Linked DNA regions of Kluyveromyces lactis. The protein of the gene in region 1 interacts with the protein of each later gene in a pairwise test. Links are inferred from orthologs where the notes say so. Each region holds a gene or a part of one and is shown on either strand. Other genes may lie near its edges.

Evidence for each region.
Region 2: the proteins of BEM4 (region 1) and RHO2 interact in a two-hybrid assay, tested with the Saccharomyces cerevisiae proteins (2 studies listed by BioGRID). The link is inferred for Kluyveromyces lactis from reciprocal best matches to the Saccharomyces cerevisiae genes BEM4 and RHO2.
Region 3: the proteins of BEM4 (region 1) and CDC11 interact in a two-hybrid assay, tested with the Saccharomyces cerevisiae proteins (2 studies listed by BioGRID). The link is inferred for Kluyveromyces lactis from reciprocal best matches to the Saccharomyces cerevisiae genes BEM4 and CDC11.
Region 4: the proteins of BEM4 (region 1) and CDC42 interact in a two-hybrid assay, tested with the Saccharomyces cerevisiae proteins (7 studies listed by BioGRID, with this or other methods). The link is inferred for Kluyveromyces lactis from reciprocal best matches to the Saccharomyces cerevisiae genes BEM4 and CDC42.

The regions. Positions count from the first base shown.
Region 1 is NC_006039.1:869,621-873,211, forward strand, and holds BEM4 (Bem4p), read right to left. Parts: upstream 2,354-3,591; coding exon 527-2,353; downstream 1-526. Other genes in the region: KLLA0_C10076g (uncharacterized protein), read right to left, coding at 1-298; PFU1 (Pfu1p), read left to right, coding at 2,815-3,591. UniProt on the Saccharomyces cerevisiae protein: Probably acts as a GEF (guanine nucleotide exchange factor) for the Rho family of small GTP-binding proteins (G proteins) that stimulates the dissociation of GDP to enable subsequent binding of GTP.
Region 2 is NC_006039.1:1,182,102-1,184,506, reverse strand, and holds RHO2 (Rho family GTPase RHO2), read right to left. Parts: upstream 1,096-2,405; coding exon 532-1,095; downstream 1-531. Other genes in the region: NST1 (Nst1p), read right to left, coding at 1,760-2,405.
Region 3 is NC_006038.1:1,258,291-1,261,616, forward strand, and holds CDC11 (septin CDC11), read right to left. Parts: upstream 1,780-3,326; coding exon 517-1,779; downstream 1-516. Other genes in the region: TRP3 (bifunctional anthranilate synthase/indole-3-glycerol-phosphate synthase), read left to right, coding at 2,436-3,326. UniProt on the Saccharomyces cerevisiae protein: Septins are GTPases involved in cytokinesis that assemble early in the cell cycle as a patch at the incipient bud site and form a ring approximate 15 minutes before bud emergence, which transforms into an hour-glass shaped collar of cortical filaments that spans both sides of the mother-bud neck.
Region 4 is NC_006037.1:381,730-384,264, reverse strand, and holds CDC42 (Rho family GTPase CDC42), read left to right. Parts: upstream 1-1,446; coding exon 1,447-2,022; downstream 2,023-2,535. Other genes in the region: GCD6 (translation initiation factor eIF2B catalytic subunit epsilon), read left to right, coding at 1-990. UniProt on the Saccharomyces cerevisiae protein: Involved in development of cell polarity during the cell division cycle, and essential for bud emergence. Affects signaling in the pheromone-response pathway through the STE20 protein kinase.

The DNA.
Region 1 (3,591 bases):
CCCCAGAGTCAGATCCACCATCCTTAGTCATTAATTTCAATCCGGCCCTAAAAATGAAAATAATAGCATCCTCAAGGGAATTACTTCCTTTAAGCACACTAATCAGTACATTCAAGAAATGTATGCTCAAAGCACCAAGGATTTGTTTTCCAACATCGTAGCACCAAACTACCCACGTTCTCTTGGGATGCTCTGATTGTCTTTTCAATAATAACGAACATATTATCAGAAAGGCCATCAGCAGTTGTATGGCAATAGAAACTGGACCTAATAGCTTACATTCGTTGTCATTTTGCATAACGAAACAAGTTCCCTTAGTGAAGGCTTGTGTTGCCTCAGCTCCTACCCAATGGTTTTTATAGAACTCTTCAATTCTTAATCAAAGTCTGTCTCTTGTGAAAGGCTTCAAATCCAGCAGGTAAATTTTAAGGTTGCCATGCGCTAAGACATAAAATGTTTTGCCCGGGTAACTTAATAATTACCTATAAACATGGTATTTATTATACACATATGCGGTACCTTAAACTTATTGGAAACATTGATGAGCTATATCTTTGACTTCTTTAGGGATTGTAGAGCATTTAGAGGCTATGACCATGCCAGCAAGATACCTACCATTATTCCAGATTGCTTTTGCAGCTGTTTCCGTTGAGCTTTTGGTTGACAAAGATGCTTCAAGAAGCTTAAAAATTACATCTGAGTACTTGTCAAACACTTCATCTTGTTCGTCTGTTGGGGTTTCATTTATATATATGCCCGTAGACCTTAATATATGAAATGTGGTGAATGGATCTTGCAACAAGTTGTCTAGAGTTATGTTTTTACAATATTCAAATACTTTCTTGGCCAGCAGATCAACCGACAACGGGCTTTCAAGATCACGCTTTTTAGCTAATTTGTCAATGGCCTGACAAGATAATATTATTCCTCTATTAGATAGCACTTCAGTAAATCTTGGTACAGCAGCTATCATAGTTGTCAGGGTCTTTGCAGTTGACACGGCCAATAATTTTTGTAACAACATTTCTAATATTGGAGAGAGACCTTGATAGTAATTTGATTGATCATGGCAGATAACTAGTAGCTGACTTAACTGCGCCAATGTCTCGTTTGGAGTGAACATTATAATATCTGGTTTAAGTAACTTTCTCAACAAAGATAACAAACCTTGGAATTGTATGGGGTCTCGAATTGTTGTACTTGATTTGACAATAATGTCGTAAGATAGTTTTTTATTGATCTCATTTGCCTTCTGAGCATCAGAGACGTAATTGGAAATGACTATCAACGCTGATGCAGCGGCGTATGATGACTTATGACATTGTAGCAATTTGATGGAAATATCGACATCTTTCCCATTGGAGTAGGATTTATTACTAGAAACGTTAGCAATAGAAGAGAGTATCTCCCTATTAATGATCAACTGGTTATCAAATTCTTTTGAGCCTAGATTTTCGAGTGATGTTAATAGATTGTGTTGGAGGATAGAAGTGTTGACCTCATCGGAAAAATTGTAATCCTCAGGTTCAGAAGTCTTCAATATACAATGTGAGATATTATTGACCAAGCTGGGTAAAAATGTATCTTCCTCTTCATCTTCAACTTCTTCAATTTGCGCATCATTTTTCGAAGTATCAATTTCTCCAGAATTGCAAACTGCTATATTGGAAGTGCTTTCAATGCATTTACAGACTTGAATTAAAACTTCAGAAAGGGAAACGAGCTGAACCAAAGATAAAAACTTCTTATGATCTACAAAGGAGCATAAGAGGTCAAAAGAAGTTCCGACAAGTAGGTTGTACTGTTCGTCTAGAAATACATTTTTCATAGAAATAATCAATTTGAAAAGTGGGACAGCTACTCTTCTTGCTGCTCTTTCATAATAGGTATCGTTATCCATGGCCAAGTTAGAAATTAAAACAACTGTCCTCAATTGCAATTTAACAACGTAGTCTTCCTCGTCAAATAGACCAAGTATCCTGCCAGCGTAGTAGTCGATAAATTCGTTATGTTTGGTACAGTCGCCATTCCAAAATACCTCCCTATTAGCATCATTATCAACCAGGCAATTTGCAATGGATCTTACTAATTCTGAAGAGATTTGAAGAAATTGTATCCGTTTACTTGATTCTTGGAATGCATAATCCAAAAAGGAATTTAGTACCCTCAACAATTGACTTAATAGACCAGTTTCTCTAATAAGGTCTCTGTTTGATTCAGCACGTAGATGCACCGCTAATTGTTCAAGAACTGTAATATAACTTTGTAAAAAGACGTCCTGGACAGGAACATCCTTTGGATTAGCTGCATTGAGCAATGGTTGCAAACCAAATAGTATCTGCTCATATTCCATTTTTGGACAATGGACTATGGGCTTTAATCGTGGTTATCATTTTTATAAAGTGGACAGTCTCGCCAAGACCGCACTTTCAATGATCGATCTTTAAACATACAATTGCTGACTTTTTAAGATTCTACTCATAAATGTCAACAACACACATAGGTAAACAAGAAAGGTAAGGTCATAAAATAATACTGGTTTGACAACCCATGACTAGAATTCTCTCGAATATTATCTTGATTATGGCATGAGTTAACAGGACTCGGTAAGTGACCTTCTGTAATAGGTCAGATGACCTATTATTTCATACACATAATAATACTTTCGGTAGCTGCAAACACTTTTAAATAGTGAAAAATCGCAAAAGTTGAGCATTAGTAAAAGCATCGACTAATTGCTAAGAAACTAATAAGGTAAGTAATATATTTCACATAGTCCATCTATGAGAACATATCCGACGGCTTCAAGAAACTATGGCTAATAAAAGAAGGCCAAAGAAAGTAAAGCCTCCTTATAGAAAATATGTTGGCGGTGTTGGATTCACACACACTCAAGGGTTCAGTCAAATAGCTGAAGAAAATGACACAACGAATATCCAAAAGTTTAATGAATTACAAATAAACGAAATACGTAATCCTTCTGATAGCGAGGAATCACGACTACAGGGAGATTCTGTCCGATCAGATGTAACTGATTACGGTGGTATGAAGCTTCCACTAGAAATATTTGACCTTACGATTTCTATGATGAGTCCGCAAGATATCAGGATGAACTTAGTGCTAGTGTGTCGAGCATGGTATCTTATATGCATACCAAAATTATATCGTACACCAAAGTTAACTAGTCGAAACTTTTTAAAGTTTGTGGAAACGGTATTGGCAGATAGGAAGAGAAAAACATGTGAGCACGTAGTTCATTTGGATTTATCTCCTATTATACAGAGTGGGAAGAATAGCTATGTGTCAAAAGTGCTACGACGTTGCTCTAAAAATTTGGTTTCATTTACAGCGCCACAGACTAGTTTTGGAATAGCTCCTTTGATCAGTCTTAAATCCTGCCAAAACCTTAAATACCTTGATTTAGGATTGGTATCAGAAACAGTCAATTTAAAAGAATTATTCTTGGCGATCAAAAACTTCCATGAGTTAACACATTTATCGTTTCCAAGAAGTTCCATTCAATGTGACGGATATAGAGACTTCCAATGGCCCCCAAATTTACAATATTTGAAGCTCAGTGGTGGGATCACA
Region 2 (2,405 bases), about 310 kb from region 1:
GACACACCAGAAAAAACGCTCTCTTCACTAATCCTGAGCTCCAATGACAGCTAATGATTTAATCAGATTTTAGGAGAGTACTAGTCAGTATTGATAAAACAGACACAAGACCTGGTTCCCTACTCCTTCTGTCGCAAGATAGAAGTGTTCATTAGATCTCATCAAAAGCCTTAGATGTTTTTCCTGTTTTTATTTTTCTAGAATTAAAGTACGCGTAACAAAACGCACTAAGACCAAAAAACGTTTTGAAAGAGACTAGATGGCATATCTACAGCTGATATTAAAAAGTGACATAAATCAAAGAAGAATACTGCATATATATACTGAAGGCAGCAAAAAATTCGTTGACGAGATCCAATTTATTAATTATTATGCGAGGGGGCTAATTTAGAGTCGATTTCAATTTAGAAACATTGAATTAGCTGGATCAAACGAGACAAAGTGTCCGGCCTCGAGATACGGCAGAAAGAAGAATTAGATAGTATGTGTTGGTTTGTAGTTTATTTTTTATGTATGAGCACTTCTTTCGTATCAACATATTACGCAGCACCCGTGACCTGGTTGTTTATTTACCAAGAGACTTGTCCTTGTGGCTACTTCGAAAACATCATCAACGTTTTCTCCTGTCAATGCACTGCATTCCATATATTTTTTAGCACCAATGGCCCTGGCAACTTGCTCCGCTTGCTCCCGTGTTACCATCTGATGTTCATTATCCGGTGATCTTAAGTCTTTCTTCAACCCAACTAGTACTACTGGAGCTTCAGGGCAATATCTGAGAACTTCTTCTGACCATTTATTTCTTGCATTCACCAATGATTCCGGGTCGTCGATTGCAAAACCAATGAGAATTATATCGGCCTTTGAATACGAGAAGGGCCTTAGTCTTTCATATTCCTCTTGGCCAGCTGTGTCCCATAGTGTTAGTTGAACTTTGATACCGTCCACTCGACAGTCGGTTACATAATTCTCGAAGACAGTTGGATGATATTCTTCTGGAAACTGTCCCAAAGTGAAAACATATAACAAAGATGTTTTCCCACATGCTCCGTCACCAATAATAACTAGTTTCCTTTTAACTGGATTGGTAGACATATTTTATGATATTGCATAAGTTTTGCAGTGATACTGCGTCTTTCTTGATTATGTTGATAGCTAAAATTCAAAAACCGACAAAGTTTGGAAAACAGCGTAGTGTAAGATCGTGCCAGAACAGAGAACTGCTTCAAACTTTCAAGTACCCAATTGCAAATAGAAAATTAGGGTGGCACGTATACATGCAAATAAAGGAAGATTCGACCTTGTTTCCTTCGAGCGTACGCTATGTTTATTCTTCGAAATCAGTTTCTTATTTCTTTAAAACAGCAAACCTTCTATTTTTCTATCTTTCAAGTTTCATTTTTTCTAGCCTTTTTCAAAGAGCCTTTTATTTTTCGAAATGATATCATATTAATGTCTGTCATGTTCCGCCGAGCAGTAGAAGCCCGAAAAAGAAAGGAAGAAGTGATCAATGAGACAGTGTAATAGATAGGACTATGCTTAGTTATTAAAATTAATTATAGCCCTGTTTTTGAATGAGTTCAAATATTCAATGATGATCTATCAATTGATGGTGTCTGATTGAAAAAAAAAAGATAATAGTGTTGTTACATTTATATTGGACGTTACAGTTCTACGTAAAACGAAGAAGGAATAAATTTTAACGGATATGTTCTCTTTTCTATCCACTCGTTTAAATAATTTAGTTGGATCGGATGATTCAGCTCCAGATATTGCCGGTTTGATATGAGTTTGGATACGATTGACCAAAGTTCACGAAGTTCGAAGGATCTGATGCGATTGTTGACGTTGGGCCTGGAATTGGATTCCCGTGATTCGCTGGTGAAGTAGTAGCTGTTTGGTTGTAATGAACATCGTTAAATACCGATGATGGTTGAGGTAGCGGGTTCGATATAGGAGTTGAAACTGAGTTTATTTGCTGCGAATCTGACTGAACTTGAGTGGTTGCATGAGGGAAAGTATTTTGTCTATTATAAGAAGGCAATCCTGATGGTACTGGAACAGAACCCATTCTGCAGTACGCCAATAAACCCGTGTTATCATTCAAAAGTTCAGTATTGTATGAATTCTTCATGGAAACCAAAGTGGAAATGAATTGGGGATACGACAGTACTGATTTGGCATTAATTTGAGTCAATGATGTTTGATATAGCTTGTCCAAGGGAACGAAACTATTGTCTGGAGAAAGCATCTTATAGGTCTTGGCTAGGACTTCCTCATATGAGTCAACAGATGTTGCTGCAACTTGGGAAGATAGCAGGGTGTTCGGAAGTGCTGGAGTAGATGTAGGTGTATCCCAGATATTCGAAGCAAAATTGTTAGCAGAGGCAACACCAAAGGTATTT
Region 3 (3,326 bases), on another chromosome or scaffold:
CGCCCAAGCTCTACTAAAAACTGGGCAATTAAAAGACTTTCCTCGTCACTTAAACGAATATCTGTTGTCCCTATCTGGTTACTCATCATCTAAAAGCTTTTCCATCCCACATCTTCATACATGATGTTTTCTTGTCAGAACACGGCACACGCCTCCTGGCATGCTGTGTGAGATAATGTAAAGGAGATTTACTAGGTCATGGTACACCTGGTATCCCTGGTACCCCTGGTACTACCCATTTGGTGCTCAGAAGCCATCCTTCTACCGTCTTTTTCGTCTTATTTTCGGCCTCGAAGTAAGTGGCTTTTATATGGTTTTCGTTCGGGAATTTTTTTCTTAAATGAATGAGGTTTTGCTTGATCGTTAGGGCATCGATAAAGTGTAGCACACGACTAGCAGCCAGTAGCCTGAAATGGTTCGTAATGCTTTATCTATCTTATGGTAATAACTGAGGTATAGGTTAAAGAAAGAAACGAAATATGTAGTTCTATTTAGTGTGCAGGAAGGGACAACAACTTATTGTTCCAATTTGATTCCTTCCTGTTTCAATTGGGCTTCCTTTTCTAGCCTCTCTTCGATTTCTCTTAATTCTTGCTCTCTTTGCAGCAATTCCTGTCTCTTCAATTGCAATTCTTGTTGCACTCTTTCTTCGAAAACCCTTAATCTTTCTTCTTCTAGCTTGATTTGTTCTTCTCTTGCCAAGTAAGTGTCCTGGTTCGATGACGCGTTGTTAGAATGTAAAGAAGTCGAATCATTGTTCCCCAACGCAGATGGTAATCCATTGCCCCTCACAGATTCTCTACCAGATACAGCGGGTGATCCTAGGTATTCGTTGTTCGTGGTGCTGAAAGCTCTGTTATGAGTCGTAGTTCCTACAGTTGGCATCTCACCGGACAAGGCTTCAGTTCTGTATCTTTCGTATAGGATCTCATGAGTAAATTCCTTCATATCGTGTAAATGTGAAATGAGTAGAGTGTTCCTTAGGACGACGAAATCAGAGATGTTAGCATCCTCGACGTCAAGGGTTCCCCATGGATATTTTCTACCACGAATCACGGACCCGTCTGCAGATTCAAACACATCGTTGGAACCGATGATAGAGAAGGGCAGTAAACCTCTGAGATATGTGTTTGTTTGATAATCTTCGTCTGACGCGTCTTCCTCATCGAATGGGAAGTTGTAGATAGGTAGCGAATAATAGTCGATATCCTTTGCGATCAATTTCTTGTTCAATTTCAACTCTTCAGCGGTCAAGGAATCTGCTTTACTGATAACGGGGATCACGTTCACTAGAGTACCTAGTCTTCTGATGAATTCCACGTCAATCTCTTTCAATCCATGTCCAGTAGGATTGATCAAATATAAACAACAATGCACCCTACCATCTTTAAACCGAGGATTTCTCCTTACACGGCTCTCTTCCAACAAAATTTCATCGTACTGGTGACGAATGTAATCAGAGATAATGTCAAACGATGGAGAATTATCCAAAGAGTCGCCGAATCCCGGAGTATCAATGATATTCAATTGGATCTTAAGACCTTCTTCGTCTTCTAACTCAACGATTTCTTCCCTCAATTGCACATCAATCTGCGTATTTGTGTCCGTTGGTAACATAATCGTGGTAGAAGTATCTACCACTTTCTGTCCACATAGAGTGTTAATGAACGTCGACCTACCGCACCCAGACTGACCAACAACCATCACCGTGAACTGAATTCCTCTCTTCAAGTTCTTCCGTTTACGCAAAGCGGCAGATGCCTGAATAATACTTGCCATTTCTGTCTAAATTACAATTGTAGCAGTGCTTTTGTTTCCCAATTCAATACCCCGACAGAAATTAGGTGCTAATAAGACCTCTGAGCAGCTCTTCTGTTAATTGTGTTGTTTACGTGTTAGTTGTTTGTTTAAAGTTTCACGTTTCCGATCTGATTCTAAATTCGTTACTCTGAGGAATCTGGAATTTAGTATGGAGGAAACAGAGAAAGAGTAGGTATTCGACGGTGAAAGAGCATTTGATGGATGATAGAGGGGCTCAGCTAATTGAACAGAGGTTATAGATTGTTACTTGGAAGTCAGATTACGGAATAATCAATCCAGCGATGCACAATTGCCTTAAGAATGTGGATTTGAATGTTGACACATCCGTACATCACATACATATTTATCATTTAGGACGAAATTCGATTCAATTTCTCATTTCATCAAAGCTTTCTCTTGACTCATCTCGAATTGTGATGTGGAACCAGTTAATCATCTCATGTTCAAGACGATTTTATATTTAAAGGAACCCTTAAAGGGCATTGAAATAATTGTAAGAAGAAACTTTCGATAATTTCTTATCGATTGGTTATATTTGGTTGATAATTATCTAGTAGGGCAACTACACTATACTGTGATAAAAAGGAACTAGGTTTTCGCATTAATTTGATATCATGTCCGCTAAAAGAGTTGTTTTGATCGATAACTACGATTCGTTCACCTGGAACATCTATGAATATCTTTGCACTGAGGGTGCTGAAGTTTTAGTTTTCAGAAATGATAAGATTACTGTGGAAGAAGTTGAAGCATTGAACCCTGATATTGTCATGATTTCACCGGGTCCAGGTCATCCAGAGACCGATTCCGGGATATCAAGAGACTGTATCGCATTCTTCTGCGGCAAAGTCCCTGTGTTTGGTGTCTGCATGGGTCAGCAATGTATGTTTGATGTCTTTGGCGGTGAAGTTAGCTTTGCTGGAGAAATTGTTCATGGTAAGACTTCACCAATATTCCATGATGGAAAAGGTTTCTTTAGAAAAGTACCTCAAGGTGTCGCAGTGACGCGGTACCATTCGCTTGCTGGCGCCAAGGAAACACTTCCTGATGTGCTTGAAGTTAGTGCAAGAACGGAGACTGGAATTATTATGGGTGTGAGACATAAGAAATACACTGTGGAAGGTGTGCAATTCCATCCAGAATCTATCTTGACCGAGAGTGGGCATCAAATGATCAAGAATATTCTTGAAGTATCAGGAGGTACTTGGGATGAGAACGCAGCTAACTTGGCTAGGAATGAGCTCGGAAAGACAGCCAGCACTGATAAAGCGAAATCTATCTTGGAAACTATTTACGAAAAACGCCGTGAAGACGTTCAACTGCAATCGACGATCCCAGGTTATCGGTTCTCTGATTTAGAAGCCAACTATAAGTTAGGTTTAGCTCCAAGGGTACAAGATTTCTATGCAAGATTAACTGCTACTGAGAAAACAGCAGTCTTGGCTGAAGTGAAGAGAGCTTCTCCATCGAAGGGTGACATTGATTTGAGTGTCGTTGCTTCAGAGCAA
Region 4 (2,535 bases), on another chromosome or scaffold:
GATGGTTCCATTATCGGATTCAATGTAGTGATTGACGATAATGTTACAATCCCAGTTGGAACCAAGATTTCAGCGGTTCCAGTACAGAGGAACACAGCTCAATTCTTAGATACAGCACATAATCTTTCTTCCAGCGATGAGGACGAAGAAGGAAGCACATTCACCAGAAATTCATCTTCTTTATCAATCAGTAATTCCGATGAAGTTGCCGATGCGAAGATTAAACTATCTAAGCAGTTGGTTGGGCCAAACGGGAGAGGCGTACTATACGAAAGTGATGATGAGGATGAAGATGAAGATGGATCGACCGAAAAGGGTATTGCGAACACATTAACGTACAGAGACGATGACATTTATTTATCGGATACTTCCATATCATCCATCACTCAAAAACATAGAAAGAGGAGAACCATGTCGATGACTAGTATCTATACTGATTACGAAGGAGAAGAAGACGAAGAAGAAGATTTCGAAAAAGAAGCCATCGCAACAGTTGAAAGAGCTATAGAGAACAACCACGATTTAGACACATCAATGCTTGAACTAAACACTTTGAGAATGAGTATGAACGTCACTTATCATGAAGTCAGGAATGCTTCTGTTATCGCTATATTCAGAAGAGTTTACCACTTTGTAGCCACACAAACACTAGGTCCAAAGGACGCTGTCACTAAAGTCTTACAACAATGGGGTCCTGTGTTTAAGAGACAAGCATTTGATAGTGATGAGTTCATTGATCTAATGAATATCATTCTGGATCGTGTGCTAGATCAGAAATTCGATAAACCAGATTTCATTCTATTCCATGTATATAATGTCTTGTATGATTTGGATATCTTAGAGGAAGATGTCATTTACAAATGGTGGGACTCTGTAAGCGGTGATTCAAAATACAGCGAAGTTACTGCTCTACTGGCCAAATGGGTGGACTGGCTAAAGACTGCAGATGAAGAATCATCTGATGAAGAAGACAGTGACGAAGACGAATAAGTCAATAACGTCATAAATGCCCTTTGAATTTTCATGGTTCCTCCGAAGTTCAAGATTGGTCAATATCAATCAATATAATGTAGCATGTAGCATTTCGAGTAAACGTGAGATAACCATATGCAAAGTAATCTATAGACAAATATACGTACGCATTTCAAGGCTAGTGTCCTCACTACCGGACTGCCAACCGCCTATGCGGTCTTCCTGTATTCTATATGGGAGAGTTTGACTGAAAATAATTCAAGTCACGTTACAACGTTACCCTAACTTCCTTATCTATTAACATATTCCCATTTCAAAATTGAAATAACAGAACAGGAGGACGAAGATATGTATGTGATGAAGGAGAGTAGTCAGACAAATTGGATGTTAGACATAGCACAGTCAGCCGGAAGTAACACCGTAAAGGCCTGCAGTGATAGTAGTATAAAAGCAAGGAAGAAAGGAATTTAAAACATGCAAACTCTTAAGTGTGTTGTTATAGGTGATGGTGCTGTCGGTAAGACGTGTCTTCTAATTTCATACACAACTAACCAGTTTCCAGCCGACTACGTTCCAACCGTTTTCGACAATTATGCTGTTACGGTGATGATTGGCGATGAGCCATACACGCTAGGTCTTTTCGATACAGCTGGTCAAGAAGATTATGATAGATTAAGACCGTTATCATACCCATCAACAGACGTGTTCTTGGTTTGTTTCAGTGTTATATCTCCTCCTTCTTTTGAGAACGTAAAAGAAAAATGGTTCCCAGAAGTACATCATCATTGTCCTGGTGTTCCATGTTTGATTGTGGGTACTCAGATAGATTTAAGAGATGATAAAGTGATTATTGAAAAACTACAGAGACAAAGGCTTCGTCCTATCACTCCAGAGCAAGGTGAAAGGTTAGCCAGAGAGCTTAGAGCCGTAAAATATGTTGAATGTTCGGCTCTTACCCAGCGTGGTTTGAAAAACGTTTTCGACGAAGCTATTGTTGCTGCTCTGGAACCTCCAGTCATTAAAAAGAGTAAAAAATGTATTATATTGTGAAAAGTGATCGGCCTTGTATTTTTTTTTTTTATTACCAGTACATGTATCAGGTAAGAAGTTTCTCACTCAAGGATGAGCGTTCTTAACAATCTTCCCGTTCACCATCAAGTCCAGTTTTATATTTATAGATGATTGTGAGATAGAGAGTGTGTTTCCAAGTTTTTGCAGGTTCAAAAGAGAAAAAAAGCTCTACCCCCCATCTCCAGAAAAAGCGTTACATTTCACTAAACCAACATCCTAAAACTACCAAAACTACTTCATAACTCTTTGACATTTCTATAGACAAACTGAAGTACCAAACGTTTGGTTCTTTGTTTGAATTCTAAACCGTCTAAAATACGAAACTGGTTCGAAGCGAAAAACTAAACACTATGGAGTATCGCTTTGTTTAAGTATAAAACCTCAACGAAATTACTCTTCGTGTGTGGATTTCATTATCTCATGATATATTTAACCTCTCAGGCTTCTAATTGACTTTTAGCTCAATAGTTTATATAAATATAAAAACATTTT